Lonchura striata: one gene and its partner. The protein of the gene in region 1 interacts with the protein of each later gene in a biochemical or structural test. Links are inferred from orthologs where the notes say so. Each region holds a gene or a part of one and is shown in the gene's direction. Other genes may lie near its edges.

What was found.
Region 2: the proteins of EED (region 1) and PPP1R8 form a complex in vitro, tested with the Homo sapiens proteins (2 studies listed by BioGRID). The link is inferred for Lonchura striata from reciprocal best matches to the Homo sapiens genes EED and PPP1R8.

The regions. Positions count from the first base shown.
Region 1 is NC_134604.1:34,843,419-34,855,827, reverse strand, and holds the start of EED (polycomb protein EED), read left to right. Parts: upstream 1-7,229; 5' UTR 7,230-7,249; coding exon 7,250-7,366; intron 7,367-10,155; coding exon 10,156-10,308; intron 10,309-12,409. UniProt on the Homo sapiens protein: Polycomb group (PcG) protein. Component of the PRC2/EED-EZH2 complex, which methylates 'Lys-9' and 'Lys-27' of histone H3, leading to transcriptional repression of the affected target gene.
Region 2 is NC_134628.1:5,418,196-5,430,712, reverse strand, and holds the start of PPP1R8 (nuclear inhibitor of protein phosphatase 1), read left to right. Parts: upstream 1-7,114; 5' UTR 7,115-7,177; coding exon 7,178-7,233; intron 7,234-12,517. Other genes in the region: STX12 (syntaxin-12), read left to right, coding at 1,013-1,118, 1,567-1,639, 1,808-1,890, 3,244-3,333. UniProt on the Homo sapiens protein: Inhibitor subunit of the major nuclear protein phosphatase-1 (PP-1). It has RNA-binding activity but does not cleave RNA and may target PP-1 to RNA-associated substrates. May also be involved in pre-mRNA splicing.

The DNA.
Region 1 (12,409 bases):
TGCTTTTGGTTTACATTTCAGGGGACACAAAACAACCACCCAGCATATGGCACCCACAACATAAGTGATTTCAACCTATAGGATTTGAGTGGGTCCCAAAAACCATTATATCATTGCTAGGGTAAAAGCACTACAGGGCAACCTGGAGAAAAGTTCAGGAGAGAATGCTTTCTAAGGACCCTCTCCCCATTTTTTTTAACAGTCCATGTAGAAGAGCTCTGCCTTTCCTTTCTATTTCTCAATCTCTCTAGTTATTTTTTTTTCACTCTTAGTTTCAATATATGCCCTCAGCTTTGAGCCCCATTAATAAATATTTATGCATGTGAACTTGTCGCCACACCCTGTGTGTGTCAAAGGAAAGGCTTGTAAGGCAGGAATCCCCTGAGAGCCCCCTCTCTCTAACAACACCACCTTCTATATCAGCCTACAGCATCGTGCAGGGAAGAGTGCAACTCCATGCAGTTTAAACGAATGGGTTTAGCTGGTGGGTTTCCCACCCTGTGCAGGAGATGGGAGGGAACATAAGGCTGAGGCAAGACAGAAAGTGACAGCAGAATGGCAGCTGCATTGTACTGGAATAGAGTGAAAACATACTCTAAGTGGAAAGGAATATATATTAATACCCAGGACTTTCCTCTCTGTAGAGAGACAAGTTTACATGAACTGGCATGACCAGGGGAATGGTTCTGGCCACTCTGTCACCACAGAGACAGGCAGATCCTGGGGAGCAGAGTTCTTGGGAAAAGAAGGCACAAGAGAAAAGTGATGAAGTGATAGGACACGGGAGCTGTTCCAGCAGCTTCTGGTGTGGACTGTTGCCCTCTTAAGCACTGCTGGCAAATCTGCCTGCACCCTGTTATGAGGTTTCACAGTTACTCTGGAGTTTTTCCAGTACAACTACTGGAAAATGAAACTGAAATATGAACTGAGAGAATAAAGCATTCATTTAAATACAGATTAACCATAGGTGTTGAACCATTTTCCCCAGCAAATAACTCCTGCAGCATGCAGCTAAAGAAAGCCTGAATTACAATGCATAACTCTAAGGCATTTCTAAATCATCACATTTTGTTGCAGCGAATCATTGCACTGAAGTTTTAGAACTGTGAGTAGCTTCTGAAGATGATGTCAACACAGTCATCATAACTGTGTGCATTTCAATGGAAAACACTTGGACTAAGCCTTGTGCATGGCTATTTCAATACAAAAATATTTAAGGGAAAGTGTATTGCCATGGTGAACTACATAGAAAAACTAGGGTGTGGCATGGGAAAAAAGGCAAAAGTTACAGACAAAGGCAAAAGCTGCATTTTTGAAAATTGTGTTAATTTATCCATGTATTTTTTGCATTAGCTGCTCCTTTGGTGACACAGAACAGACAGTGTAGCACAAGGCCTGAGTCTGTACAGTTTTCCCTACAGACTGGCTGTGTAGTAGGGTGGCTTCTGTAACAATATTCCCTGGAGACATCCAAGCCTGCCAAAGGGGCTCCAAGTGGTAATGGAAGCATGTGGCTTCCATGGATGCTTCTGACCTGTTGTATCTTTCCCAATTTGAATGCAAATCTTTGTGGGGATCATCCTTGTAGTGTTTTTGGGAAGATGGGGAGAAAATTCTAGGGAGGTAACTTCACATACTTCTGCTCTCTGTACAGATGGCAAGTGAAATACAGTTTAGCTGAATGTTCGTTTCTTATCCTGGTCTTTCAGATTCTTTGGTGTTATGCTGATTTAGTGCTTTACTATTCACACTTCTGTGGACTAGTTCTGGAATGGTCAATAGGATGGACAGCAGCCCTTAGCATTTAGAACATTTTTAACTGCTGCTGTTTCAGGCCACACCAGCAGGTGAATTCCTGTTGATGGCAGAGGTTGCATCACAGAATCTTTATTGTACTTCATCACTGAGCCAGTGTGTGGAACTGTAGGTCTCCCCAATTCTTCTATAAACTGGACTCCAAAGTCCCTTTGTAAATATGCTTCATGTACTGTAATGTGGCTGTCTGGTTCAGTGGGAGCTCCTTCACATGCAGAAGAAACTATTCTGGAAGAAAGATCACTTTAAAATAGGCTAAAGGCTCTGTTCACATAAGCTGTGGGTCCATGAGGATTTATTTGGTGACAATACTGGTTTAAGTAATTCTGGCTTTTTTTCCTGCCACCTCCCTCTCTTCCCACCAATTGTTCTTGCGCCACTCCCTGCAGTGACAACAGAGCTGTTTGTGTATTACTTTGTGAACAAACAAGGGAACTGATCTAATACAACAAAATAGAGATGTGCTCCTTGTTTTCTTCTGCCAGTTCACTTGACTTGTGTGATTCTTTACACAGCTACGTAAATCACTCCTTGGCAGAGGATAGAAGGGCAGGTGGAAGCAGGGGAAATTAGGTGGATGGAGTGGGATGGGACTGGTTGAGCCACGCTGTTGCTGATCATGAAGGCACAGACTAAGATGATACTTTACTGACATAAAACTGCATGTTGCCCCTCTGCCATCATGGCAGCAGAGCTGTTAGAGCAGCATAGAGAATCCTACACCTTAGGTCAAACCTTTTCAACACTGAAGATAAACCATAAACTGAAGTGGCACACAGGCAGATTTCAGGACATTGCTGAGCTGCAGCTCACCACTACCATTGGGATGAGATCTTGTTTCTCTGCCATCTTTCACTCCTGGCTGCAGCTTCCTTTCTGGTGGTCATCAGAGAATTTGCATTTGTCTGGTTTTGCCCATTAGCTAAAGACAAAGGATCAAGTTACTTCATGCTTGATCAATTTTCTTCTGGGTTAGTGAGCTGAACTTGCTCATTGAGAGTGTTTTGAAAAGCAAAGCCCATGGAAGAGCAGTGGTGGAAAACCAGAATTAGGAACATGAAGAAGGTTTGGAAAGGGGGTGGGTGAGATATCCTTCCTTCAGTACCACTGAGCTGTCAGATCAACTCAGCTGTCTTGTCTTCTGATTCAGATCCATCTTCCATTTTAATGCAGGTTTTTAGCTCTAGCAGATGGATAACGTATGTAAGCTTTATCCATATCATCTTGAACTCCTGCAGCAAGATTTAAATGTGTGAGCTGTTCCTTGCTTTCAGAGTATGAGTCAGCCAAAGGTTTGACCCATTAATCTTTCAAAAGTGAGAGGGGGGAAAAGACTGCAGCCTTTTCTGGCTGTTGCAGTCCCATTACACAAAAGGGATGCTATGGTTTTTCATGCAGATGCTTTTCCAATTGGTTTCTAATGTTGCTGTTTTCATGAGGCAAAAACTACGTTAGCAGTCAGACTTAAAAACTGAACTGGTATTCTGAAAATCCAGCCATGTTTTCAGACTCTTAATAAAAACACCAGTAAAACAGCCTCTGTAATTGGGGATGGACTGACAGGGCTATTGGCAATACATGGAGCAGAACAGAATCCACTTTAGTTGCCATGGCTATGTTTTCCTGACAAACCCACAATTTTAAAAATTACTTTTATCCAGTTAATTCAGTAGTTTTCATCTGTAGACACAGAAAAACCAATTAGTAACAATACTAAGAAACACTTTTTATAGAACAGATCCTGGTATCAGGTAATTTAGCTGTGGGGCTATCTCTGCACAGAGGTAAAATACTATGCTACCTAAGGCAGCATAGTACTGGGGCAGCACAAAGGCCAGGCCCCCTTTGTTAATGAAGGAGCTCTAAAGAGCCAGACTTAGATGCTTCACTGAGTAACAGGAGAGGCTGGAAGAAAACAGGTATTGCCTGGGCAAAATACCACTCCATGCTCCCTGTGTCAGTGGGAACAAGAAGCTTGTTATCAAGGACTCTACTCTTTGATGTCTGCCCACTAGCTCATTATTTCGTATATCCTCCATTCCCAGCACAGCACAGCCCCTTCATCTTTAAGTTGGCAAAATTAAGGGCTACCCACACAGTTAGAAACCCTGAGCTAATTCTATGACTCTTTCTTACATATCGTCTACTGCCTACTCTTGGAGACAAAAGTTCTCAGCCACCAGGAACAGCTGATTGTCAAAATCACCACTAGAAGAAGGCAGAAGGTATGTGGACTACCTGAAGCATATCAAGGAAGAAAGACACCAGGGGAGATGTCTTGCTAGACCTGCCACAAACAAAAGTGAGCTGGTCAAAGATGAGGCTGCAGCAAATACAAGATTGTAGAGCCGAAAATCTTGAGAGACATTAGCAGTGCAAATATTAGAATCACAACCCTGGACTTCAGGAAAGTAGATTTTGGCCTACTTGGGAATCTTTTTGGCAGGATCCAATTGCTATGGGGCTCAGGGCAGGTGGTTGATCTTCAAGGAGAAGCTCCTCTAAGAAATTAAAGAGCAGTCCATTCCAATATGCAGAAAACCAAGCAAGTGAGGCAGGAGACCAGTGGGGATATATTAGGAATTCCCAGCTGAACTCCAACACGACAAGGAAGTGTATGAAAAGTGGAAGCACAGATGGACTGCCCAAGAAGAATACAGAGACATTGCTTCAGTGTGTAGGGCTGGTGTTAGGAAAGCCAAAGCTCATCTGGGAGATGAAACCAGAGAGGCAAAAGTTGTCAGGAAAGGCCCCTATAGGTACAGTAGCAGCAAAAGGAAGGCTGAGGAACATATGGATCTGCTGCTCCATGGAGCAGGGGCAGACACAGTCACAAAGGACATGGAAAATGCAAAGGACACAAATTGAAGCATGTGAATTTCTGATTAATTACAACTTTAAAAAATGATTACCATGAGGGTAATTAAACACTGAACACAGAAGACCACAGTGGTTGCAAAATATCTTGTGTTGAAGGAATTCATAACTGGACTCAGTTAGGCCTTGAGGAACTGGCTTTAACCAGCAGGGGTTAGAGATGATGAGCTTTGGAGGTTCCTTCTAACCTCCAGGATCCCATGATTCTGTGAAGAAGCTTATCTGGTAGAGAATGAATGAAAAGTGTGAGACTGATTTACTTTCAACCCATATATATATAAAAGTATTTCAATGTCCCTGAATGATCCAGAAATATTGTGGTATGTATTAAAAAAACAACAATCCAAAATCAGACTATCTATTAAGACCCCATGTCTTCGATGCATTGCAGAGTTTTTTTTGACATTTGTTATTGCAATCCTGTGAGAACCCATATTTGGCAGAGTCTTTCAATTTATATTAAATCCAGCCTTCCAAGTACCCACCATCTGTTTTTAAGTACCATTAAATCACTACTTAAAACTGACTGCAAATTAAAAAAAAAATATATATTGTTCTCCTGTTTTCCTCTACATATTATATCAAGGGCCCTATTACTTCTTAGTTAATATGTGTATGGTATTTATGTATTATATGGTATTATACTAATTAAACAAATAATGAACTATAATATATTTTTTCCTAGTACCCTTCTGGGATACAAGAAGTGCTTCTCCCATAGCACTGTTGAGAAACTGAGGCAGAGAAAAGCATGGAGGCTATCCAAAAACAATCTCAGCAGAGCACAAATTGAAACAAATTCCCTGAACTTTCAAGCTTGTGTTTAACCACACAACTAATTCTTTAAATAGAAGCTAGATGAAATGTACTATGACATTTGGAAACTGGGTTCTCCTGGTACACCAGTCTTTCATGTCTTTCGAGAAAGTGCAAGAAAAGCAAGTGGTTTAGACTAAAAAGTGTCTACAGAGGGAAGCAGAGCTATCACCTCGAGGAGGAAGTTCCCCAGCACCTAGAAGATAGGAGAAGGCACAGACCTGCCAGGACAAAGCTGTTTATATAAGGGAGATGAACTGATTGATTCTGGGAGTGGGTGGGGAACCACACTGCATAATGGCCATGAAGCACAGGCTAGCTGAGGCTTCCACTTTCCTCATGAGCTGGTGAAATGTGGTGGACTTGAACGTGCAGCTCAGCTGGCACGTCTGGAGATGTCAGCTAACAGCTGCAGGACAAAGGGGAGCACTCTTCTCCCCAGTAGTTCAAGGGCTACAGGGAGAAGTTAAAAATTCTCTCTGCTGAAAACTTTGTGCCTCCCCTTCTTTCAAAAAATTTGCAGCACAGTCGTGATTTAGTCTTAATTACAAGACACCAGTCTAAAAGAATCCTGTTGTACTCTAGAAACAAGCCTGTATATTTTCCCACAAACACTTCTAACAAAACCTCAATCTTACAGCACAGACCTACACAGGGTTTTTACCTGTAAACTTACCACCTTTTGCTATATGTTGTGCAATGCCTCATTGGAGCCTACAGTCCTGCAGAACTGTTTATTGCTAAAAACACTATAGTACACACAGCATTTGAAGTATATCTCTTCCTCTTTATCTCTGAAGTTCCTGCGAGATTAAATTTTATATACAAGGCACGGCTCACTTCTGTCACTGCCCTCAAAGCTTTTTTTGAGACTGGAATGTTTCCCTCAGGGAGAAAAGACTTGTTTCTGCCTCTACAAGTATAGCAGATAAGATGATGTGCCTGTGGGCAGATTACTTTCCCCCTTTGTTAGAAGTTGTGTGGATTTTGTTTTTTCTTCATAATTATTATGCTCTGGGACCTGTGGTTTGCGAATAAATAAATTAACAAACAAAAACCTGCAAGTGCAGTTATTTAATTTATAGCTGCAGAAGGAGCTTGCCGGGGAGTACAGAAGTAGGAAGCAGAGAAGAGCCTTTCTCTCTTATCCGGAAACACTATTCGCAGGCTGAACGACTTTTGTGGGTTAAGAGAACACCAAAACAAAACAAACCAGAAAAAACCAACAAAACAACAACAACAACAAAACCACACCAAACCAAAAAGCCCGACCCAAGAGACCCTTTGGGCACAAGGGAAGTTGGTGAGAGAGGCAGAGCGGTGGGTATCACCCGCGGCGCACGGGGCTGTTTGTTTCTCCGCCACACGCGTGCTCGGGCTACAGGCAGCGCCGGCCAAGCGCCACCACGCCGCGACCACGCGGGCTCATTCGGCTCAGCCCCCAAGACGAGCGGGGTCCCTGCGGCCCGCTGAGCCCCGCAGGCGGCGGCGGGCGCTTTCCCAGCGGCGGCAAAGGCGCTTTCCCGGCGGCGGGAAAGGCGCTTTCCCGGCGGCGGGCGGTTTCCCGGCGGCGGGAAAGGCGCTTTCCCGGCGGCGGGGCGCTTTCCCGGCGGCGGGAAAGGCGCCGCTCCGCCGGCCCGGGGGCTCCAGCCCGGGCAGCGCGGCCGCTTTACGGCACAGCCGTTCGAACCTCCGCGTCCGCGCTTTGCGGCTGCGTGGCGGTGGGTGGGGGGCGGGGAAGATGTCTGAGCGGGGAGAAGCCCCGGCGGCGGCACCGGCGGGAGAGATGCCGGCGAAGAAGCAGAAGCTGAGCAGCGACGAGAACAGTAACCCCGGGGACATGTCCGGCGACGAGAACGTGAGGCCGGGCGAGCGGCAGGCGGCGCGGGCGCGGCGGCGCGGCGGGAGCGCGCGCGGCGGCGCGGGGCCTCGCGGCGGGGGCGGGCGGGAGCGCGCAGGAGGAGGAGGGGCCGCCCCGGGCCGCCGTGAGGGGACATCGCCCTCCGGGACCCCCCGGGTGGCTCCCGGGCCGGGGAGGGCGTGAGGGAGGAGAGGGAGAAGGGGTCTCGGCCCAGCCGTCCCGGCTCGGTGGCCGCCGGAGGGAGGCCCCGGTGGGAGAGACCGGGCAGGGTCTGGGGGAGAGGCGCCCGCTGTGCTTCCACGTGGGTGAAAGTGGATTTGCGGCCCAAGCTGTGAGCGGGCGCTGTCTCGAACTCTGCTTCCAAACGTCACACTCTTTTTTAAAATTTTCCCTGCAAACCAGCAGCATTTTCCATCTTTCTTGTAGTTTTGTATCGTGTGTCTTCACTGTCACGTTGTAGAGTAACATGCAGCACGAGTTTATGTGTGCAGCCTTTTGGTGAATGAAAAGTAGGAGATGGTGCTCAAACTACTGTCAGCAGAAGGCAGCGGGGATGGCGTCTATAATCTCTAAGTTAGGTGAAATTCTAGTGTTCAGAGCAAAGGTAATGTGATTGATGTAGAATAACTTTATACCTGAAAGGTAAACTTAATCTAAGGTATCGACCAGTCACTTTATGTAGTTACTGGTGTGGAGAGGGGTTGTGTAGTTACTCTGTGTGTTTTATAATGTGTAGAAGTTTCTTTTCTGCACTTATCCAGCTAGTGAGGGAACTGGACTACATCCTCCACAACGTTTGGAAGTGGTGCTTGTGAGGTGACAGGCAAGTTTGAGATGTTCCACACCGCTGCTCTTGTTTTTTTTTTTTTTTCATAGCTTAGCAGCATTTGTGGATCCAAATGTAATTTGGTGACATATGTTCAGGCTTAATTTGTTGTCAGTTGTAGGCTATCATGGAGTGTGGAATAGGTTGCCCCATCTCTGGAGGTGTTTAAGGCCAGGCTGGATGTGGCTCTGCACAGCTTGGTCTAGTGAAAGGTGTCCCTGCCTGTGGCAGTGGGCTGGACTAGATGATCTTTAAGGTCCCTTCCAATAGAAATCACTCTGATTATATGATTCTCTGATTCTCTTATGTGGGTTGCCTCAGTGGTGAAGGGATTCTTTTTCCAAGAGTTTGTTACTGGACTCCACAACTCCTGCAAGATGGGGGATTCGGTTTAAAAGTTGACATAGTTGTGTTGATTTGGAGAAAGGGTGTGTTTTGCTCCACAGGTGTCCCGCATGCAGGTTTGTTGGTTATGTGGTAGTTGCAGATACATGGTATAGCTGCACCACACCAGCTGCCTGGTGTTCTCACGTTGGCGGTATCTGTCTAGTCCAGAGAAAACTTCAGTCTTGTCAAGTATTAAAATTCTGACATGTGCACTTGGGAGATGAGAGTTGGACAAGCTCTGATTTTTTTTTTAGGGTAAAGGAGAAGAAACAGGAAAACTTAAAAAATGTTAAATTTGGTTATGAATATTAGTGGAGGGTTGGCTCTTTTAGGGGTCCAATGTGAAGGGAATTACTCCAGATTTGGGCAGTACACTTACGGGCTTTTGTGGTATCTTTCCTCCTTTTGTCCTCTGAATGTCCTGTTTTTCAGAGTTGTTGGACAAACAAAGGCTAGTACACCTCTTCAGGCTCCTGATAATACAGACATGAAACTGGGACAGAGAATGAATGCTTGGTGGGAATTGGTGTATTAATGTTTATAGTTGACCTCATTCCATATTCCTAGTGGAGTTCCTAGCGCAGCTTTGTGAATCTCCTACAGTGACAGGCTGTTCTCTGCCTCTGTCTCCCTTAGTTCAGCTCTAGAAATTACTTAGTCTAGCATGAGATGTTTTCCCCCCACTAGTCTGATGGAAAGTGAACTATCTTGCCAGAAAAAATGGGAAAAGTTGATTTTTAACAAGCTGAACGTACTCATTTGGAAACACAGGGTTGGCAGGTACAATGCAGATGAAGGTACTGTGCTCTGTGACGGGTGATACAGGGAAATGTCCTTTTAAACAGTGCCCTGCAGTCAGACCACACAGGAAATTGTAGTTTCTGCTGATTATCCAAAGCCAATTTAAAATCTCTCAGCAGCTAGATGGGGTGTTTTGTGTATTTGTGTTTTTTCAGTTTTCACCATTCTTATCTTACACTAATGGTTGGAGGGCAAATTGGATTAGTTAGCTGATCAGAATTTAGCTTTTAGTGGAAACAAGTGAGTATCTGTGGTACAGGGGGGAGAGGAGGAACTTTGTCTTCTGATGTTGATGCTGCCCCGCTGCAGAACCGTGCTGTGAGTGGTGCTGCTGAGAGTGCACAGAAGCCTCAGAATGGCTCGGTTCTTGGTAAGGTCAAGCCTCATGTTTTTTAAAAAACAACTATTCTTCAGTTCTTCAGAAGTACTCATTTCATCTGGATCAAAGATGTTTTCTAGGGGAAGCAGCTGCTTTATCTCTAGACATTTTCTTAAGAGCAGCTACCAGTATTCTGAAGAAACGTCACTAGATCACAGTTCATAGCTCTCCCTCTTGGATTAGTCCTCATGTGATTCATGTTCTGTTTCTAGAGAGGAATGCTATTATGCTGGCATTAGATTTAAATACATGAATCTAAATAACACCAAGGCCTGAGAGATCTGTTTGTATGAATGACAAGAAGTGAAAAGGCCAAGTGCTGCAAGATTAGTTGAATTTATGCAGCAATTATGATCTCTTTGTGACAGTCTATATAATTTTGGATGTTTTCAGGATGATGCTGTTAGTATTGAAAGTGGTACTAACACTGAACGCCCTGATACGCCAACAAACACTCCTAATGCACCAGGAAGAAAAAGCTGGGGGAAAGGAAAATGGAAGTCGAAGAAGTGCAAATATTCCTTCAAATGTGTAAATAGTCTAAAGGTAGGTATGCATGAGCTTCAGGGAATGCTTGGGCATCACTTACTGGCAGCAGTGTTAATGTTGGCTGTGAGACAGCGTCAAGCTAGAGACTTTTAAATATCTTTAAGCACTTATGTTCCATGCTGATTTGAAGCAGGTACCTTTCTTTCTTGGAATAGCGAAAGTTTTGAAGAAAAAAGATACTGAGAAATAGGAAACAGTAGATAGTGCTGAAGTTAACCTTGTTTTTGTACAGTTTGCAAAGTTTTGTGTGATGCTGTGATTATATATTTCATTGAAGCTGTAGATGATAAATATAAGAAGTTGGATAAACAAGTTGAACTAGAACAAAACCTGTGACAACTCCATGCAAAACACAGAACCTGCTCAGATGTCTCTGTGCTGATAAAAAACCCAAACAAATCAACCCAACAATCTTAAGAGTAGCTTTTTCCTCACACTTAACCAGATTAGGTATTTTCTGTGCTCTGGCAGTATCATAGCTACTTGTGCAGTGCAATTTGGTTAATTTATTGTGAGTGTTGGGATCATGTGTTAGCACCTGATTCAGGCAGTGTGTATCTTCCTGTGTAACACCTGATGGTTTTAAGATATGTGGATTGATGGTCTTTATTGCTTGTTCTGCTCTTTTAGCATAGTGCTGTTTTCTTCCGCACTGGTGACAGACTATGGTGGACTGAATGAGTTTTCTCATTCGTGACTATTTTACTCTGTCAGGATGTTCTTATTTTCCTGATTCCTCAGCCTCATGTGGGATATTTATGTGGCAAGATGGGAGTTATGGCAAACTCTGTGAGGATCTGTGTAGCTCAGCAGTGGATATTTTCTGCAGAATTGCTCTAAGAGTATTTTTTCATTCCCCTATGCTTAATTGGGGAGCTGTGGTGATGTGGCTCCTTTTCTGAGCTTTGTCTTCAGGCTGCCGTAGTGAAACACTGGGGTACTTGAGCGGGAGGGGATGAAAGGTTTGGAGCGTGGAAACCTTCTAAATGAGTTTTGCCACTGGAGAAACTGTGATACGAAGTTACACTGACAAAAGTATCTGGGAAACAAATTGATCTTATTGTGTTCTTGAAGTATAAAAATTGCCTCCAGACTTTTGAGGGTGTAGGAGGAAGGGAAGTTATTTCATTTCACCAAGGTAGGCAGCAGTTCCTGTGATTCGCGTGAATCGCCCCCACGGATGGTGCCATTTGTGGCTTCAAGTCATACTTCAAACACAGACATGGGCCTTTGGACACCCAAACTTTTTACAAGTTCTGAGCTTTGTTACTCGTACTTGTTTTCTGTCTGCAGACAAAGATGGTTAGTACTTCCCAAGTGTCTTCTGGGGAAACAAAACATTCCCTCACCCCAGTGTCAATCCAGACCCCACTGTAGGGTGATCCAAAAGACCAAGCTGTGAAACTAAGCAATCCCCGACTTCCTTGGATTTGGATCAGGATCTGGGAACAGATTCCTGTGCAAGTGGAATCAAGCTATGAGGGAGTAAATGTAGCATTTCAACTAAGTGGGGTATTTTTATTAGCTTTTCTCCCCATTTCTCTTTGGTCTGAAATCAATGGTAGTAATAAGAGATGTGCATGTTAAGACAAAGACCTAAGTAGCAGCCAAATTTGGTTATTTACTTCATGATTGAGGAAGCCTCTCTTCTTTTCCTTTTCCCAGTCTTCCATACTAACTTTGCAGGTACTCTGGAGAAAACTGTAATGATTGAATGTTGTATATAGGTTTAGAAAGACACTTGTGACTCTTTGAGTACTGTGTCATATATCTCCTAGTTTATATGTTTTTGAACTATGCTGTAAGATGCAGGTATTGAAGTTAATGAAGGATCTACATGATTTAAAGATCATAGAAATTAATGTTCTTTAGGTGTGTATAAATTACATGTTTTTCCACTTTTGCACTTTTGGTTTTCCCCTCTTATTTTGTTTTTTAGTTTTTTCTTTGGGGAAACAAATATAGCCATTACTGTCTGCTTTGAGTGTTAAATGATTATGACTCAGCCTGAAAAGCTCAGTGCTTGCTAAATACGCGTTTTAAACACTACTTTGGGAGTTATTTTGAATGAAATTTAAGCATCCGGAAAACAAAAATA
Region 2 (12,517 bases), on another chromosome or scaffold:
TGAAGGCTTGCATACTAAAGCAGTGGGACCCAGAGATAAAAGATGATGGCACACAGCAGCTATTCCACAGTCAAAGCTGTTCTTGTGTGCCATGTGTCAGAAACTTCTACTTTTGAGATTTGCAAACCCTATGATCATCTCAGAGCTGAATTACTGGAATGGTTAGCTGAGTCTGACCTATTCATGTAGTTTATTTTCATTGCTTAAGGCACTTTTAAGACCTTAAAACTTACTACTTAGTGTTGTACCAAACACTGATAACAATGTTTTCTGGCACACTTCTCTATTGAAAAGATGGAGATGTTGCCCTTGAAGAACATTCTAAGCTGAACATAGAGGTGGCTTTGTATTATAGATGCTGGCTCTACTCTTAATTGATTTAACTTCTGCAGCAGTTGTGAAGAACCAGCTCATCAGGAGAGAGGTAGACTGGGATGAAGAGTTACTTGAGTTTTAATATCTCTTCTGGTGTGCAATTTAATTCAAAGTTCCTGCTAGACTAATGAATTAAAATACTAAAACACTTTAGTCTTATCTCCAAATGCCAGATAGGCAAGAGGCTTTGAGTCCAGATGCTTTTCAGGTGTTCTTCTGTTCTGTTAATATGCTTGCAGGCTGCTCTCTGTCAGAACTTTCACCCTGGTTTCTCCCTTTTGGAGAGATGGTAAGAAAGCAGGGATGGTACAAGTATTTTTTTTTTTTTTAAAGCAGAACTGAAATGGGCAGTTTCTTCTAAAATGGTGTAGATAACTGTTATGTTCTAGAACAGGTGTGCTATGCATGTAACTGCTTTCCAGTGTCTTCACATTGCCTGATCTGTCCTTTTTTTCAATTGTTTCAGTTTGTGATTCTTGTCACAAATTGGTCTTGTCCTTGTACACAGTGACAGGCCAACAACCTGTGGGTTGTTCTGTAGGGAAGTCTTCAACTTTAACTCATTTTGCCATAAAATGCAGCATGGAAGTACCTATGCTCAGAGAGATACAGATACTGACTTTCCTTCTCTTTCCAGTGGTGAAGATTGGAATCAGATGCAGTCTCAGGAAGAAGATGTGGCAATAACTGAACAGGACCTTGAGCTCATTAAAGAAAGAGAAACTGCAATCAGGCAATTAGAGGTGACCAGTCAATCCTGCACAGTTAACAGCACCGGGAGATAAATCAAAGGATGCAGTGTTAATTAATGGGATGGGCTGAGGAGAGCTGATGGTGGAGGAATAGAGTTCCTCTTAGAGAGGATTGATGCCAAGATGATCTCCCTGCTCCTGGTGAAGGAGGCATATTTTCCCTCAGTGTTGGCTGGTGATCCTTCAGATATGGCAGGAGCAACCCATGTTACAGTGTTCATACTGTGCTAATTGCTGGTGTGATGAAACAAATATTCAGTAGCTGGAGCATTGTAGGCTCCCATGCTAATCCCAAGTTGCACAGGTGGTAACAGCAAGTCACCTCAGTGAATGGTGGTGCCTATTCTGACCCTTTGAGTGATGGAAGAGGTACTAAGAGTGAGGATTAGAAAATATTGTACCCAGTGTTCATTGTAACTTCTTAAACTGTTGTCTTCAGGCAGACATTTTGGATGTCAATCAGATATTCAAGGATTTAGCCATGATGATTCATGACCAAGGAGATATGATTGGTAAGTGTATTTGGGTAATAAGTTTTTTCTTGGTAGAGTTACTTGTTTTGCAAGTCATGGATTAAAATTTTCAGTACTTTGCATTAAAAGTATTATATTTTTAGTTATAATTTTTAAACACTGAAGCTCTGAAATATTTTGCAATGAGTTCTCCTGTTCTTTCCATAGATAGCATAGAGGCAAATGTGGAAAGTGCAGAAGTCCATGTGGAAAGAGCCAGTGAGCAGTTACAGAGAGCTGCCTATTATCAGGTAAATTTTGTGTGCTTGCTTGATTGTCAGTGTATGGTTGAGCACTAATGAAACAGGCAGAGCAAGACACTGAGGACTGCAGCACACCAGACTGCTTATTAAAACCAGCTCATGCAAGTTGGCATTCATTCAAAATTGCCTGCAAGGAGTATATAAAGCACTTGAGTCAAAAACATGGTATTGAAATTCACCTTCTACTTTAGACTAAAAGAGTAGAAATAGGGTCTGGCCCTTCACACTCTGCAAGCCTAAGTGTTTACCTGTCTTTGTTGTTGTTAGGAGTTAGCAGAAGAAACAAGAACAAATTCTGATATCATATGCAACTTTTGAAGATATCAGCCAAGACACTGACATGCAAAAATCTGTGCCCAGACTCAGGTCTGGTCACTCTGGTGACCAGGATTTGCAGCACTCCTATCCAGCTGCTGAGCTTCTATCCCATAGTTTGTGCTCCATCAAATCTCTTGCAGTGGCTCTCACTGCTGTATGGGATCCAGTGTTTCCTGTAGGTTCCTGTCACCATCCTTGTCCCTCTAGCTCCAGCTTCTGTGAAGGGGTAAGGGTTCTGCTTTAGTCAGTCCATTACTGCTGGGACTTACACAAGAAAATACTGGACTCTTCCAAGCTGTTAAGTGGGAGGTACTGGAGGGCAATAAAACTCCAGTGCTGTTGAGTGCAAGGGTGGGAATGTTGCTTTTACCATCTGGCAGCATGTAGTAGCAGTCTCTCTCTCCATGGCTTCCTTGCCAAAGTTCTGAGGTATTTATAAATCTAAGTTTCAGAGCTGTTGGATATGTTTTGCATGGGGTTTTTTCCTGGATGGAGAAAGAAGTGGTTATATATCAAATCCTTAGATGCCAAGTTAAAAATATTTGGTGTATATGGAAGGCCTGTAGTTTCCTGTGATGAATAAAGTGAGCAAAGCTGTAAAATCCAAGTTCAGTAACTGTACATGAAATAATTTAAATTGTAGAAATGCAACACCAAGCCCAAGTGGCCAAGGGGAGATTGTATGTGAGAACTGCTTAGGAGTTTGATTAGGAAAAAATGTAAATAGCTAGAAAGGTTTGGCCTTCTCTGAGGCTTGTATTTTCATTAAGAGAAGCAAAACCTGTCAAATTTTGACTTAACTGCATCTCTTAGACCACTGCACTCCTAAAATTAAAAACATTCATCTGTAGAATCATGGAGTTTAAGGAACATGTAAAAATGTTCAGACTACACTGGTTACTTCTCTCTAACTGTGGGGGTACCAAGGGCTCTTGTTCACCCAAGTTAGTAACATGAATGGTAGCCTTGCTTTTTCCTCAAGTGTTCCTGGTGTCAGTGGCTTCTTTTTTCTTCTCTTATTAGAAGAAATCCCGTAAGAAGATCTGTATCCTGATTCTTGGCCTTGCTGTGGCCTGTATAATCATAGGACTCCTTATCTGGAAGTTGAACTGAAATCTTCCCATGGAAACCAGTCTCACAGCTGAGATTTTTTCTGTCAGAGCAAACAGGCTGACTGGTCTTGGAGCTGAATTGACCACCCTGAGAGAGCAAAAGTTGGAACTACTTCTAATAATAGATATTAGCAACTAACGTGCAGGTAACTAGTATTTGGAATTAGTAAACCATGGAGACAGTATTTATCAGTTTATATACAAATTATATTGTTTTATGTAACTAAAATCTTGTGGTTTTGCTTTCTGTAATGTGTTCTTCCCTGTCCCAGCTGTATGCTGAAATGTGATCAATAATTGGAGAGGTCTTGTTTTTGACAAGTCGCACAACTTCAACATTTTGTACACGTAGGTAACTTTGTTGGACTGGAATGCAAATGCCATTCAAAGACAGCCCACCACCAAGTCACATTATGTAAATCCAGCAGTTTCTAAAGTCTCCAGTATCTGCCCCATGGTTTTATTGTCTCCAAGTGGCTGTGGTTCTAGATTCTCTTGAAGAAAAGGATGTTGTCACAGATTTGAGAGGCAAGGAGGGTATGTGTGGATGATGATTTGAACATGCTGGTCAGTTTAGCCTTGAGACTCATAACTGTGTTTAATTTTTTGGGTGTGGTTGGGGTTGTTTTTTATTTCACAAAATGCACTTGAGGACAGAATGTTCTTTGACTTAGAATAACAGTGCAATCTCCTTAGACAAACTAGCTGGTTGCTTGCTAGTGGACAAATAAATCTCTTCCAATGCTGACTCAAGCACTAAATATAAAAAGTTTAGCTGCTCACTCCCAACTGTTTTTAGAAGCTTCCAGGGGAAAAAACACTTAAAAATGAGGAAGTGGGCACCTAAGTTTACAAGCTAGCAACATTAGTGAAGAGTGTTAGCAGAAATCTTGATTCTGAAGAAGTGCTCTTGAAGTTCACTTGTAGTGTCCTAGTAAATGTTATGTGTGGCTTGTGAACATTTGGTATTTTCAAATCTTTATGAAATAGAAAGTGCAGAAACTGGCTGAGTGAAGTGCTAGGTTTTCCAGACTGGGGAGGTGTGTGCAAATGAAAAGGGTTGCTGGTTCCAGCTCATAGGGTTGGGCAGAACCAGCAGCCACTCCCCACTTCAATGTAGCTCTGAACTGACATGCACTGGGAACAGTAATCTGTCCAAAACCCGGTGGGGGTGGTAAATGCAGTATACTGACCCATTTTGTATTTAATCCTTATTCCATGTCTCGTCTATAATAAAGTAAACATGAAAGCTGGGAAGAGTGTTCTCCCAATTGCACAGTGGTTTGCACTATTGCGCCGTCATTCCATCCAATAATTATCAATAAACACTTTTAAAAGCCTCTGTCAGAGCTCATTTCTCTTGCAATTTACACATTGGCACAGGTGTGTTTGCAGAGTAGAGGACGTTACATCAGCACAGTAGTGTTTCCTGCAGCTTTAATTCTGTGGTCCCTGATTTTTCAGAATGAAACTCCCTGAAATAATGAAATTAATTTCCAAGGACATACACAAGACTTCTGTGCAGCGTCCTGTACAATAGGTGATCCCAGAAAAATGAATCTCATACCTCAGAGCAGCATTGGGTCAGCTCTATTTGCCTTTTGCTAGAACTTGAAGCCATTTGCAAGCCTGTATGATAAAATCTGACTTGAAAGCATGTGACCTTTGTGTTGTTCTGCTCCTTTTTTAAAGTTTTCCTTGGAAATGGTAGGAGCTATTGATTTGAAACCTATTGATTTGTGCATGCCTGCTGCCAGACAGAGTCCTTTGGGTGTCACACTGCCATAGAAGAACAAAAGCACTTAGCTTTAGTTTGTTTGTTAGGTCACCACACCTAAACAGGAGCATTATTTGTGTGCTCCATCCTTCTCCTAGCCTGTTTTAGTCCCCTGGAAATTGGAATTGAGGGTGCAGGGTGCTGAGCTCAGGGTTTTTGTAGCTGCTTGACTCCTTTCTCCCCTACACAGAGGAGGGAGCCGGCTGTGCCGCACCTCTCAGCGGTTCGCGGCGCTAGAACCGGTGATTTTAACGCTCTCGTCTCACGTTCCCGAGCCTGAAAATCCGTCTGGAGAACTGGAACATCCCGTGCTTGTTACTGCAGAGTCTGGCTCTCAGATGTGCGTTCGACCCCATTCGAGGCGTTCGGGGATCCCGGCCGGCCGTGAGAGCCGGGCAGCGAGCGCGGCTGTGCCCGCCCGGGGCGGCTGCGGGCCGGGGCCGGCCGGGACAGAGGCAGAAAGGCCGGTGTGCTCGTACGGGCCGTGCCCCGGGTTCTGCTCGGACAGAGGCGCTGTCCCCGCGGTACTCGGTACCGGCACTGTCCCCGCGTTCCAGCGTCGGTACCGGGGCTGTCCCCCCGTCCCGGGGTCGGTACTGGCTCTGTTCCCCTGTCCCGGGTCGGTACTGGCTCTGTTCCCCTGTCCCGGGTCGGTACCGGCTCTGTCCCGGGTCGGTACCGGCTCTGTCCCGGGTCGGCACCGGCTCTGTCCCCCTGTCCCGGGTCGGTACCGGCTCTGTTCCCTGTCCCGGGTCGGTACCGGCTCTGTCCCGGGTCGGTACCGGCTCTGTTCCCTGTCCCGGGTCGGTACCGGCTCTGTCCCGGGTCGGTACCGGCTCTGTTCCCCTGTCCCGGGGTCGGTACCGGCTCTGTTCCCCTGTCCCGGGTCGGTACCGGCTCTGTCCCGGGTCGGTACCGGCTCTGTTCCCCTGTCCCGGGTCGGTACCGGCTCTGTCCCGGGTCGGTACCGGCTCTGTTCCCCTGTCCCGGGTCGGTACCGGCTCTGTTCCCTTGTCCCGGGTCGGCACCGGCTCTGTTCCCTTGTCCCGGGTCGGTACCGGCTCTGTCCCCCTGTCCCGGGTCGGTACCGGCTCTGTCCCGGGTCGGTACCGGCCCTGTCCCGGGTCGGTACCGGCTCTGTCCCGGGTCGGTACCGGCTCTGTTCCCCTGTCCCGGGTCGGTACCGGCTCTGTCCCCCTGTCCCGGGTCGGTACCGGCTCTGTCCCGGGTCGGTACAGGCTCTGTCCCGGGTCGGTACCGGCTCTGTCCCAGGTCGGCACAGGCTCTGTCCCCCTGTCCCAGGTCGGTACCGGCTCTGTTCCCTGTCCCGGGTCGGTACCGGCTCTGTCCCGGGTCGGTACCGGCTCTGTCCCCCGGTCCCGGGTCGGTACCGGCTCTGTCCCGGGTCGGTACCGGCTCTGTCCCCCGGTCCCGGGTCGGTACCGGCTCTGTCCCAGGTCGGTACCGGCTCTGTCCCGGGTCGGTACCGGCTCTGTCCCAGGTCGGTACCGGCTCTGTTCCCTGTCCCGGGTCGGTACCGGCTCTGTCCCGGGTCGGTACCGGCTCTGTTCCCTGTCCCGGGTCGGTACCGGCTCTGTCCCGGGTCGGTACCGGCTCTGTTCCCTGTCCCGGGTCGGTACCGGCTCTGTCCCAGGTCGGTACCGGCTCTGTTCCCTGTCCCGGGTCGGTACCGGCTCTGTTCCCCTGTCCCGGGTCGGTACCGGCTCTGTTCCCTGTCCCGGGTCGGTACCGGCTCTGTCCCGGGTCGGTACCGGCTCTGTTCCCTGTCCCGGGTCGGTACCGGCTCTGTCCCGGGTCGGTACCGGCTCTGTCCCAGGTCGGTACCGGCTCTGTTCCCCGGTCCCGGGTCGGTACCGGCTCTGTCCCGGGTCGGTACCGGCTCTGTTCCCTGTCCCGGGTCGGTACCGGCCGGGCGGGGGCGGGGCCAGCCCTCGGGGGCGTGGCCCCGCCAGGCCCCGCCCAGCGCCGCGCGGGGCACGCCGGGATCGCCGCGCGCCGATCGCGCCTCCCATGGTGCCCCGCGCCGGCTGAATGGGGCAGAGCCAAGATGGCGGCGAGCGCGGCCCCGGCGGGCGGCGGGTCCCTGTTCGAGTGCCCGAGCTGGTGAGCGGCGGCGCCGAGGGGCGGAGGGGCGCGGGGCTGCGCTCCCGGTGCCGCAGAGTGCTGGCCGGGCCGGCGGGGTCAGGGCGCGGCCCTCGGTGCCGCCATCGACAGCGCCGCGGGGGTCCGGGCCCTCCCTGGGGTGCCGAGTTTTTTCCTCAGAGCTCAGGCAGAATCCGTGTTGTGGTAGGAACTAGATATCCTGTTCGGGAGATGTGTCCGGTACATCTGTCAGCTTGGAAGTAGGCTGGGGTTTTTGTTAGCTTGAGTTCAGCAGTCAGGGCTGAGTGGAGTGCTGGAGACATCGCGCCCATGCCTTGGGCTGGGTCAGGGGTGGGAGAGCCCTCGCTGGAAGGGATCTCTGAAAACGTCCTGCCGCACGCTCCTGCCAGAGCAGAGCTTGGCATCAGGGTGCCCTTGTTCGTTTGTTCTATGTTTTGGTCATTGCTGAAGAAATCTTGGCTCTCCTGCCTTCTTTGGGTGCCGCAGCACTGGGATGGGAACGGAGGCACTGGGATGGGTACGGGGGCATTGGGATGGGAACGGAGCTTTGGGATGGGTACGGGGGCATTGGGATGGTGTCACAGCACTGGGATGGGTGTCACAGCACTGGGATGGGTGTCACAGCACTGGGATGGGTACCACAGCACTGGGATGGGTGTCACAGCACTGGGATGGGTGTCACAGCACTGGGATGGGTGTCACAGCACTGGGATGGGTACCACGGCACTGGGATGGGTACCAGGGCACTGGGATGGGTGTCACAGCACTGGGATGGGTACCACAGCACTGGGATGGGTGTCACAGCACTGGGATGGGTGTCACAGCACTGGGATGGGTACCAGGGCACTGGGATGGGTGTCACAGCACTGGGATGGGTACCACAGCACTGGGATGGGTGTCACAGCACTGGGATGGGTACCACAGCACTGGGATGGGTGTCACAGCACTGGGATGGGTACCACAGCACTGGGATGGGTACCACAGCACTGGGATGGGTACCAGGGCACTGGGATGGGTGTCACAGCACTGGGATGGGTGCTGTGGTATTTTAAATCACACAAACACCCCATCCCACCCCACCTGAGAGCTGGAGTTGTGTGCTCCAGCCCTGCCTGGCCCTGCAGAGCCCAGGCTGGCCCTGCTCACCCAGCTGTGTTGCACCTCTCAGTGCTTTCTGACAGTGCTCAGTGCATGAGTGTGTTGGCATTTAAACCAGGTTTTTAAATACCTGCTTTAGCTGGTAAAGCCATTAAACTTCTCATGGAAGAGAATTCCTCATGTATTTTAGGGTCTTATTTGTGCTGAACATACACAATAATGATCATCTATATGAGACAGGATGGTGTTCCATAAGATGATGACACAATAAACCAGTTAAAGTCAAAGATTATTCTGGATATTCAACTTGAAATTTGAAGTATCATCCATTTTTTTTCCTCCTAGTGTTTTTATACAACAGTGATCACAATATACATTATATTCCATGTAAATTTGAATTATTTGTACTTTTGAAAGCTGTAGATGGAGGAGCTGAGAGAACACAGCTTATAAAATACTCAGTCTCAGTGTCTTGCATGCTATTGTAGAAGAATTCCTAAAGAAATCCCATCTGGAGGAGAGAACTGTAACACCTGTAATTGTGAGGGCCTCTTCAGATATCTGTTTTGTGTCTTACCTGCAGCAGGGCAGGGTCTGACAGAGAGAGTTTCCCTTTTTCCTGCCCTGGTTTGGTTCTGAAGCACAGTCTGTTTTGCTGGATGAGAAATGAGGTGGAATCTGGGAGATGATCCAAACCCAGTGGTCAGGGGGGCATGTTTGGGTGCCAGGTCCTGTTCTGTTCTCACATTTTTAAGATTTTTTTTGTAATTCACTTACTGCAACCTGAATCTCCTTTTACAATAATATTCCAAAATAGTTTTGGATACAGCAAAGTTCCTGTCTGGACTCTCTCCTGATACATTGTGAGGAAACTTTTTATTTTCTCTTGGACTCTGTTGTATCCTTACACATTGTAATGGTTTTAGGGACCCAGCTGGGCAATTTGTGTGTTTGTAGCTGTGAAGTAAAGGAGTGCCTGAGACAATTTGGTCTTGTCCAGTTGGCACATGCAGACATGGCAGCTAACACCACTGAAAGCTTTGTGTTTTTCCTTAATGTTGCTTTTGAAGCCCAAAAGCTGTTTGATAAGAGGAAAAATAAAAAAGTGAGCTAGCAGGAAGCCAGTCTGGAGAGCTTCCAGTCACAGTGCTTGTGTTCTGAACAGTGAACCCAAAATGGGAAGTGTTAGGTGATGTAGACTGGTGATAACCATGGCCTCATCCCTTGGTGGAAGTGGGGAGCTCTCCTACCAGCTGGATTTATTTATTTCTGTTTACTTTTCTGTTCTGCAAAATAAGTAGAGTATATTTGATGCTAAAGCTCTGGATGCCTTCTGCTGATATTTCTGAGCTGCAGCTTCCAGCTCATGGTTTTTAAGTATTTGCTCCTTTCAGAGCCAACCAAAGAGCACAGATATGATGTGGAATCAGTCTGGGTCTTTCCCAGGTAGGATTCTCCAGGCTGGAGGTGGTTCCAGGAGCAGGTTTGGATCAATACTGGTCTTATTGAAAGCTCTGGTTTAGGAGGATATAAAGGCACCCTGCAGGAAGCCTGGTCTTAAACAAGCACCAAAAAGTCTCCTGTGAAGCATTGTAGGGCTTCATTCCAAGAGCTTTGGGTGACCAAAAGTATGGAATTGCAGAGTCTTCACAGTCAGAAGCAGATTCTTCTGTAATAAATTATCTTCCATCTCCTCAACCTCTATCAAAATCAAAATCACAGTCTTTACCTAAATGTTTATTTTCCTGCTTCTAAGGAAAGCTGGCTGGGGCCTGTGAACACCAATCATATAAGAAATACATCTTAGATGTACATAATCAAAAAGAGTAGTCTTTTTCCTGGCCTTTAATTTGTTGTCCATGCTTTTGAGGTTTGCCTCTATCATTTTACCTCTTCTTCCATAACTTGCATAGTATCTGAGTACTCCATTTCCAGAAAAGACTTCTGCACTGAAACTCCTAGTTTTCATCCAATTTGTGGCTTTGATTTAGTCTTTTTGCTGTTAAAAGTTGCTTCTTCATAATCATACAATATTTATTATTTCTTTCCTCGTGTTTCCAGCAGCTAAACTTAAGGCAGATGAAAAACAGTGGTTGCCACCTGAATAATATTTGCTGATGCCAGAACATGTCTATGCATGTACTGTAGCTCCTCTGTACCTGTTAGCCAAGATTTGGGCTGTGCATTTACAGCTGGCATAAAGAGGGTGCCACTACTTCTTGTAGATTAAAATTCAGCCATTCCATGAGATCAGAAAATGTCTTTAGATAACAATTAGACATCTTAGTTTGATTAAGAATTTTGCAAGCTTTCTGAGCTGGCTTTATGTAGTAAAAGTGATTTCTCTGAGGTACAGGTTATCTGGTGTATAGTTTTGAAGTGACCATCAGATGTTTAGTGGATACTGCCTGCCTGTCCTTTAGTCCTAGTGTAACTTGTATTTGGAATTGTGACTCTTTCTTTACTCTCTTTGACACATTAGTAGTGGGGATGTCAGGTTTGTCCTGGAATGGACATACATTAGAAATAGTTTGTTTGAAAGCAGCAATTGTTTATCTTTAGCTTCTTTGGCCAAGAACTGGCTATTCCTGGTGATGCTTTCACACAGATTTCTGGAGAGAATGAGCTCCAGAATTCTGCAAATTCCACCCTGTCCTTGAAGTTGAACATGAAGGTGTATACATGAGTCACAGAGGCCAGGATTGGTAGGAAGTGCCTAAATTTAGGTTCTGAGTCCACGTTTTGAAACCCAAATAATTGACCGAATTTTAAACTAACACAATAGAACTATGGCTGTCCTGTCTATGTCCTTTATAGCAACAATTCCAAAATTCTTGTAGTGACTTACATCAGTCAGGCTGCTGAGTTTCAGCTGGATATAGATATTATAACCCTGCTGGCAGTCAGCATTGAATCTGCACTGTGGAAGAGATTCTAATTTGAAAAACTTCAGTTCTCTTACTTGGCACATTCCAAAGTGTTCATGGCCTTGTCCTTCTTTTCCAAAATGCTTTATCTTTGTTAAAGAGACATAGCCTGGCCTGTGGAGCATGAGGTGGAGAAAACAAGGAAACCCAATTTTCTGTTTCTAGTACAGAAGAAAGATTTTGTTGCTTGTAGGTATTTAAATATTTTAAAAACCTTTGCTGGAAGCTGGTTTTATTCAGTGGTATCCCTTGTGAGTATTTACTGCTGATCATTGTAAGCAGTTGATGCCTTCTGTGAGGCCAGCAAATCCATGTGTGCAGCTGCTGTGGGAAATCCCAAGCTGGGAATGCTCCTGCTCTCCTTGCCAATCAGCTCTGTTAATTCCCTGGAAGGTTTCACATCCCCCCCAGGAGTTTCAGGATTTGGGGGGCAGTCAGAGCATCCTTGGGTCTCAGTCAAACTCACTCAGCTAGTGACCACACAGTCAGTGCATTTGCAGGTGTTATTTTCGGGTCACTTGCAGGGTGCAGCCCTGGGGAGGCACTGGGGACTGTGATGCACCATCTGGAAGGTACAGAAAAAATTCCTTCTCATTTTCAATCACAAGCACTTGTGCTGGAGCCAAGGTGTGGTAGGAGAGCGTTGGCCTTGGGGCAGTGCTAAGGGCTCTTTGTGTTCTGTAGAGAGAACAATCTGCTGGCCTCAAGTAATTCTCCATCCTTCAGAACAGTGCAGGAAAATCAGTTTAGTGGATACTTTAGCACATAGTGGAATTAGTTTAGTGGAAAAGGACTTTTTTAACATTGGACATAAAATAGGGAAAAGCTGCTCTCCTGTAACAGCATAAGGCCAGCTTTCTAACAAACTTTCTTCTAGCAGATTTTTGCAAGAGATTTCCTTTCATATTTTACTCTTTGATCCATGAGGAGAGAGGTCTGATGGGGCAGAGCATGTGAAGGGTGACTGATACTTCCAAATCCAGGCACTACTTCTGATCTTTGGTGACTCTGGAGCTAATTGGTTTTGAATATAATACTGAAAAATCTTCCTACTTTTTTCCTTAAAAGGCTTTTCAGGTATCTAACTTGGGCAGCCTGAACTGTGACATTGGCTTAAAATGTTCCAAAGAACTTTTCTGTCAGAAATTACTTCTGTGAATTTGTTTTCATGGTACCATAATCAGTATTTACAACCTTCCTGTGTTCAGTGTTTTGCAGGAATAGGTAGATGGGGAAGTCCTGCCTAGAAAGGATTATTT